2 linked regions of the Neurospora crassa OR74A genome follow. The protein of the gene in region 1 interacts with the protein of each later gene in a pairwise test. Links are inferred from orthologs where the notes say so. Each region holds a gene or a part of one and is shown in the gene's direction. Other genes may lie near its edges.

Region 1 (3,569 bases):
TTGGGATTGGTCACGGTGTTGGCCGCCCAATCAAGAGTGTGACAGCAATAGTCGATCGCGCAGCAGCTCTTGGGTGCATCATGCACGGCACATAAAAACTGCCACTCGCTTGCACGCATCTCGGGGCAGGTGGCAGCGCTGCAGGGCGGCTCATCGAACAGGAAACCAACAATAAGGTTGTTGCATTGTGTGATCAAAAAGCGGCACAGCTCATACAGCCATACCGTCTTGTCGATATGAGCAGGGGGCGTTGCGAGAATCTTGGCTGTCTCCCTTGTGATGGGAGTTGTGTTACCGGCCGTATGGTGCCAATGGAGGGCTGCTAAGTGCTCCTGGAGTTGGAAGGCCGAATCAAGCTGCGCGTCGCAAGACAGAACATGTCAGCCTTGTTCTTGAAGAGATCAATGACTTTTCAGGCAGCGAACGAACCTGGTGCAGAGGAACCAACGGAGGGCCGGCGGCCATGTCGGCGGCCTTGGTGCCCGGATGGATGCGACGATGAGACAGCAGGTCTATCGTAGGCATCTCGTATTGCTGCGCCTGGCGGTTGGCGATCGGGCCCATGGCTGGCGATGTGGGACCAATCTGGATCTCGGGGGCAGGCGGCGGGCTTGGGAGTCGAGGAGAGCTCGGGGGAAGCGACATGATGGTGCTTCGTTATTTGGTCGCGATGTTGGATATGGGTGAAGTTGATACGCGAAGCTGGACAGCTACAACCGCGCGCAAGCAATGCCCAGCTGTGTCTATCGTAACGATTCCCTTGTTTGTACTATTCGCCCGCAAGTTCGGCTCGACTTCCTAGGTAGCGGTATGAATGGTAGATGATTCTGCTCGGATCGATATGCCGGTGGAACAGATGAATCGAGACGGGCTGGGTTGCGTGGATGAAAGGAAGTTGGATGAGGTCGTGGAGGTAGATTGACAGTCTAGACGAACGGGATCTGGGGTCCACGGCGGTGCCGTCAATGGGATTCCTTGGGAAACTGCCCCTGCTGCCCCTGTGCTGAGCTGGAGCTTCGAGCCTACAGGCACGCCAGTGGAAGGCGGGAATACGGGGAACTCACCCTGTACCTGGCGCTAAGATCAAGGAGGTGCCCAAGCTCCCAATTGCTCCTCGTGCTGTCTGACTGTAAAATACGGTATCTGTAACAGATGTGCGTCATGCCTCTGGTAACCGAAAGGGCGTGGGCCAACAATCGCATCGGTTCTCCCCGGCAGCCTGACAAACATTACATAGTGTACTGCGTAGGTAGAGGTATAAATACGTACCACTGGTCCCTGCGAGAAACCTATGGGTAAGGTGATTCAAACACTACACTTCTCGACAACGTTTTGTGTAATTCCACGACCAAGAACCTCCGCTCAGAGGACCTCAATTCAATATGGACTACGACGACGATGCTCCCCCGGATCTCATAGAGACCAACGAGATCATACTCGAGGAGGAGAAGCCAGTCAAGGTTCCCATTACCATAGTAACAGGTATGCATTTTACTACCAATCTCATTGTGGTCGACTTCGCGCTGATTATAACCTCAGGCTACCTTGGAGCGGGCAAGACCACGCTCTTGAACTATATATTGACTGCCCAGCATGGAAAGAAAATTGCCGTCATCATGAACGGTATGGCTGAACATCCCGGGCCTCGCCTTGCATTGGGATAGTTAGCTGACGATGAGTTGTGTAGAGTTCGGAGACTGTTTGTCATCCTCTTGCTGCAACCCCTCAGCATATCTCTGCTGACGCTCAATCTAGCTCTGGACATTGAAAAGTCCCTCACCGTAAACAAGGATGGCGAGTCAGTCGAGGAATGGATGGAAGTTGGCAATGGCTGCATCTGCTGTTCGGTGAAGTGAGTTACCGATGATTGAGCACTTTGTCCCCATCAGCTCTAGTGCACTGACACTGACCAACAACATATGATCGTCTCAGAGACACCGGAGTGAATGCCATCGAGTCCCTAATGGAAAAGAAAGGAAAGTTCGACTACATCTTGCTCGAAACCACCGGGCTCGCAGACCCAGGGAATCTTGCACCCCTCTTCTGGATGGATGATGGCTTGGGAAGCACCATCTACCTCGACGGCATTGTGACGTTGGTGGACGCCAAAAACATTCTGCGGAGCTTGGATGATCCAGCTGGCAAGGTTGAGGGACACGAAGAGACCGATGAACACGGGCATGGGCCAGTCATGACGACCGCTCATGTCCAGATTTCACATGCTGATGTCATCGTAATCAACAAGTCAGACCTGGTCAGCGAGGACGAGCTGCAGGCCGTCCAGGACAGAATCACGTCCATCAACGGGCTCGCCAAAATCCACATAACCAAACAGAGTGTGGTTCCAGAATTGGAAGGATTCTTGCTCGACCTGCACGCTTATGACCGCGTGGAGGAATTGGACAAGCCAAGTCTGGGCCACAGCCATCTCGACAAGGTCAGAGACTCCCTTTCATCTCTCGTGAATGGCTAGCAGGACCTGGACATTTCTTGATTTCATATGACCAACTAACCTGAGTTTAGACGATATCAACATTATCTATTCCTCTACCGGTCCTGACATCAGCACAAGTCGAAAAACTGGATGCTTGGCTGAGGTCAATTCTTTGGGAGAACATTCTTCCTGGACACGAGAACGCTACTGACAGGCCAGCTTTCGAAATTCATCGATTGAAGGGTCGGTTGGTGCTCGAGGACGGCAGCGAGAAGATGGTTCAGGGAGTAAGGGAAATCTTTGAAATTTTTGATAGCCCAGACAAGAGTCAGGGTCAAGTTGCGGGTAAACTTGTGCTCATCGGGCGTCATCTAGTCGATTTCGACTTCCCAACAAGCCTCCAGAAAACTGTTGATCTTGCCAAAAGCACCTAGCCGTCAGGCACCATATTATAGATGTAGGAAATCAGAACGGAATCCTGACGAACATTGCCTCATACGTGTCAGACCGGTAATGGAAGTCTTGATACTGTTTATACGCTGTGACTTAGGAAGCAGTGTGCATCCTGCTCTTGATGCTGACCGTGGAGAGAAGTTCCTTTGGAGGGTCTTCGAATGTTTGAGAATAGGGGGACGTCGATGGCCTGGAAGCACGGACCACATATCCTCAAGTTTCCGTCACCTGCACCTTGATCTTGAAGTCTCCAAATCCATGAAAGAGGGCTTTCAGTCCGCCGGATCAGCGGTCCTTGATCGGTATTGTCTTTCCAGCCTTTAGGTTTCCGTAGTTGTCAACGGTCAACCCGGGCCTGCCAGTGTGCATACCATAACGAAGTGACCTACCTGTAGTAACACCAAACTGGTATGTACCTAGAGGTACCTAGGTACACTGCAGCGTCTCCACATCCCGTCCCAGATGGAGGTACTGGTTATAAGGACCACTCACTGCACCTGCGCAGCCAGTGCGTGCCGCCCGCCTGGCGTGCAGCTCCCGCTCGTTTCCAAAGCGCGACCGGGCATTCACCTGCAAACATCCATTCACTCTGGCAGCGCACCACGACACCACCGCTACCACTCGTCACCTTTTAATCGACGGCACAACTTGCTAATTGCGACAACCGGAAAACAACATTCGT
Region 2 (4,164 bases), on another chromosome or scaffold:
ATGGCGATGAACATGAATTCCTTGCCGGGCCAGATGTGTAGGTGGTTGGGGGATATCCTGAACTTGGACTTGGCTGATGATGACGATGGGGCGATCTGGAACTCGCACCAGAGTGTGTCGATGTATTCTTGCTGGTAGTCCATGCGGGAGAACTTCATCAGGTGGTAGCGGACCGCGGAGTGGGCGCCATCGGCACCAATCATAAAGTCGAAGTCGACCTCGATTTCGCGGGCTCGGTCTCGTGGGTTGGAGGTGCTCTCGTCTTTGTTTTCGAACCAGGCCTTGTTCCGCTTGAAATCGGCGCCGGTGAGCTTGTGGTTGAAGAAGAAGGTGACGTTGGGCATCTCTTCGAGCATGTCGAGGAGGCGCTTGTTCAGGTCGCCACGGTCGATGGCGAGAATGCTCTGATCTATTCATCAACACACCTGCTCTGTAGAAAGGCAAAGGGGTCGAGGGGAGGGGTCTTACCCGTCCATGGATGTCGTAGTCTTGAGCCTCCTCATACAGCTTTCCATCTGGTCGCTTGCCGTGGATCATGCGGCCTCTCATGGGGATGGTCACCCCTTTGACATAATCGATGAGTCTTGGCTGGTTGGCATGGCGCATAGCATTGAGGCCGCGTTCTGAGAGGGCCAAGTTGATGGATCTGGTAAAGTTGAGTGGTGTTGTTGAGGGGTCGCGTAGGTCTTATTGTTTGTTAGTTAGCAGTGACATCTTGAACATCTTGGATCTTGACTCATGATGTATTGTAAAGTCAACAACGTAAAAAAGACAAGACTCACCACCGCGCAGTTCATAAATCTCAACATCGTGACCACGGTTGGCCGCATAAAGAGCAGCCAATGACCCGACCGGGCCAGCGCCGACAACGACGACCTTTTGCTTTCTCTCCTCCATTTTCGAAATTGAGTGATTGTGAGGATTTCCCAGCTTTGCCGGAACAAGTTACAGGTGGAAATCAAATATCTGGGTGATTACATCAGACGATTCACACTAAGATCCCACGAGACATGCAGTTCGATATTCGTCCGTGCGAGGCGATCCACTTCTACCGACGCCTTGCTGGTGCACTAACACCATCAACGGTTTAGCGTCCTTAGAAAGGTGGATCGATTGGGTAAGCATTCTGGTCCCTTGCTGGGTCTACTATGGTGAGATGGGTAAGTTAAACCTCCTAGTCAGGTCGATGAACACACAGTGCTCACGGCGCTTTCGCTGTAGTGGTCCGTGCAAGGTACCTGACATGGGGGTTAAACTTTTGCTCCCAACCACAGTATCCAACAAGAGCTCCACCCATCCCGGACCCCGGCAGAGCCGCCCAGCCCGCCGCTGCCCGCCACTGAAAATGGAATGCGCGTGGGACGACTTTTGGGAGGAAGGGCGCAGCGGACAGCGCCGCCAAAAATATTATTCGTCCGTCCACGCCAAGGGCCCGGCATCCAGACCTGTCGCCTTCCGTTTCGTTGTCGCTTCTTCACTTTGTCTCGCGCCCTTTCAAGAACAACGAATTCTCCCAACTAGGATACCCAACACAAGGTCACCAGGTACTTACTTTTATTTGCTCTTTAGACCCTGTGCCTCTAGACCAACTTCTACGCAAACTTGTCTCAGCTGTTGCTTCCCCTCGGCATCTGGCCGTCAAAGAACAACGAACTCTTTTCGACATCCTCGCTGTCAACCCGCGATCGTCAAGCTAACTTATCGGCCCCTCTTTAAAGCCTTTCGATAACCACAGACAGTGACACCACAGTCTAATTCGAGCGCACCACCACCATGACCGAACAACCCCCCGCGAAGAAGAAGTGCCTCGGCGCTGATTGCGAAAACGATGCCGGTTCCCTCCAATGCCCCAAGTGCTTGAGCCTGGGTATCAAGGGTAGCTTCTTCTGCTCCCAGGACTGCTTCAAGAAAAACTGGGTACGGCGCATCTTCTTTGGTTCCCTCATCCCACATACCTATGGATTTCCTCGACTAGATCCCGTAGTACCTTACTTAGACTCGCACTTGCATGCGAACCTTGATAGCTGACCCTTTGGGTGCCCAATAGAACACCCACAAGGAGCTTCACAAGCTTGCCAGTAAATCAACCCGCTTCCCCCTCCTCCTTCGCCAGAGCGCATATTCTAAAATTCTGCTCCAGGCCCCGAAACCTACAACCCTTTCCCTACCTTCAGCTACACCGGCCCTCTCCGCCCCGTCTACCCTCTTTCGCCAAAGCGCGTTGTCCCCAAGTCGATCCCCCATCCCGACTATGCCGAGAGCGGTATTCCCGGCGGCGGCCGTACAAGGTCCAACAAGATTGAGCAGCTAGACGAGAAGGGTCGCGAAGGCATGCGCAAGGTGTGCCGCCTCGCCCGTGAGGTTCTCGACATCGCCGCTGCCGCCATCCGCCCCGGCATCACCACCGATGATCTCGACAAGATCGTACACGAGGCCTGCATTGAGCGCAACTCGTACCCCTCGCCATTGAACTACAACTTCTTCCCCAAGTCGGTCTGCACATCGCTCAACGAGGTCATCTGCCACGGCATCCCCGACAAGCGCGTCCTCCTCGACGGCGACATCCTCAACCTCGACGTCACCCTCTACCACGAGGGCTACCACGGCGATCTGAACGAGACATACTACGTCGGCGACAAGGCCAAGGCCGACGCCGACTCGGTGCGCGTCGTTGAGACGGCCCGCGAGTGCTTGGAGGAGGCCATCAAGCTGGTCAAGCCCGGCACCCTGTTCCGCGACTTTGGCAACGTGATCGAGGCGCACGCCAAGAGCCGCGGCTGCAGCGTTATCCGCACCTATGTCGGCCACGGTATCAACAAGACCTTCCACTGCCCGCCCAACATCCCCCACTACGCTAAGAACAGGGCCGTCGGCGAGTGCAAGCCTGGAATGACCTTCACTATCGAACCCATGATTGCGCTGGGCAAGTACCGCGATGTTACCTGGCCCGACAACTGGACCTCCACCACCATTGATGGCAAGAGGACCGCTCAGTTTGGTAAGTGCTGTTCATGATTCAGTAGGCGGTGGCTGAGTGCTGGAATGTTCAACTAACCCTGCTTGACAGAGCACACCCTCCTTGTCACCGAAACCGGTGTTGAGATTTTGACGGCGCGCACGGCTGACTCTCCTGGCGGCCCGGTACCCATGCCTACCGCCGCTGCTTGAGTTTGGTCGGACGCTAAAAAGTAAGGTGTGCATCGTTATTGGAACAAAAAAAAAAGGCGTTTAAAGGGGATAATGTTGTGGTATAGACTTGTGCCGTAGCGTTCAATGCCTGAGTTGATACCCGGAGACATTTAAACGGGAAACCCAAAGCCATGGTCAGATCTATCAACATAATGATCTCACAATCGCAGAGCTAGAGGCACGTTACATATATAAGGTTCGCGCAAAGAACAAGTGTCTGGACGGATATTCTGGAAGATTCTTAATCGAGAGGAGCGGGATTTGGGATCCTCACTTCAAGGCGGACTCGGCGGTAGACTCGGCGGGTTGTGGAGAACCGGGCCCGGAGCTCTCTATCTCTCTCTGTCTTCCCCAAAAGCTGTTTGAGATTGTAAATGCTTGGATAGAGTATAGACAATGCCTAATGTTTCACCATATTTGAGGCTAATACTCATCACTTCGGTAGTCAACTGGAGCCATGAGGACTTGGGAGAATCATGCTTCTGAAAAGTGATGTAGCGGATCATCAAGTCGGCGAGGCCGAGACCGGGGATCGTCTCTATGCCGCTTTGCCCCACCTCGGCCGGGCTGGGCTTACAGGATAGTGGAGCTTTGCAGAAAGAAGCTTGGGCCAACCTAGCCGCCCAACAGGCTCCAGGGGCGGACTTGGCAAGTGGGCTCGGGCTGGCAGTTCACGGCGAAAAAGAGTGGAAGGAGGCCGGGGGGAGGGGGGGGGCACCTTCATCATCGAGGAAGCCCCGAGGCACCAGCACCAGCACCAGCACCACCTAGCTATCTGCCTTGCCCCCAACAACCCTCCTCCTCCAGACCTACCAACTGAACCTCCAGCTGTCTCCACGCAAGAACCGAGTGAGTCTTCCCACCACTGCCCGATTTCGCCAGTTTGCGACCGCCCTTTTTTTTTCTTTCCCAGAAAACACCAAATCCAAAGATCAACAAGACGGCTTTTCCCCAAGTCTTATCATCCCACCTCTA

Evidence for each region.
Region 2: the proteins of NCU11371 (region 1) and NCU06923 interact in a two-hybrid assay, tested with the Saccharomyces cerevisiae proteins (2 studies listed by BioGRID). The link is inferred for Neurospora crassa OR74A from reciprocal best matches to the Saccharomyces cerevisiae genes ZNG1 and MAP1.

What each region holds. Positions count from the first base shown.
Region 1 is NC_026504.1:2,285,227-2,288,795, forward strand, and holds NCU11371 (COBW domain-containing protein 1), read left to right. Parts: upstream 1-1,236; 5' UTR 1,237-1,382; coding exon 1,383-1,482; intron 1,483-1,539; coding exon 1,540-1,623; intron 1,624-1,687; coding exon 1,688-1,699; intron 1,700-1,755; coding exon 1,756-1,852; intron 1,853-1,932; coding exon 1,933-2,437; intron 2,438-2,523; coding exon 2,524-2,868; 3' UTR 2,869-3,060; downstream 3,061-3,569. Other genes in the region: mob1-2 (Mob1 family protein), read right to left, coding at 1-356, 430-645. UniProt on the Saccharomyces cerevisiae protein: Zinc chaperone that directly transfers zinc cofactor to target metalloproteins, thereby activating them.
Region 2 is NC_026507.1:776,476-780,639, reverse strand, and holds NCU06923 (methionine aminopeptidase 1), read left to right. Parts: upstream 1-1,393; 5' UTR 1,394-1,773; coding exon 1,774-1,917; intron 1,918-2,047; coding exon 2,048-2,078; intron 2,079-2,140; coding exon 2,141-2,998; intron 2,999-3,067; coding exon 3,068-3,168; 3' UTR 3,169-3,659; downstream 3,660-4,164. Other genes in the region: NCU06924 (kynurenine 3-monooxygenase), read right to left, coding at 1-404, 469-686, 783-897. UniProt on the Saccharomyces cerevisiae protein: Cotranslationally removes the N-terminal methionine from nascent proteins. The N-terminal methionine is often cleaved when the second residue in the primary sequence is small and uncharged (Met-Ala-, Cys, Gly, Pro, Ser, Thr, or Val).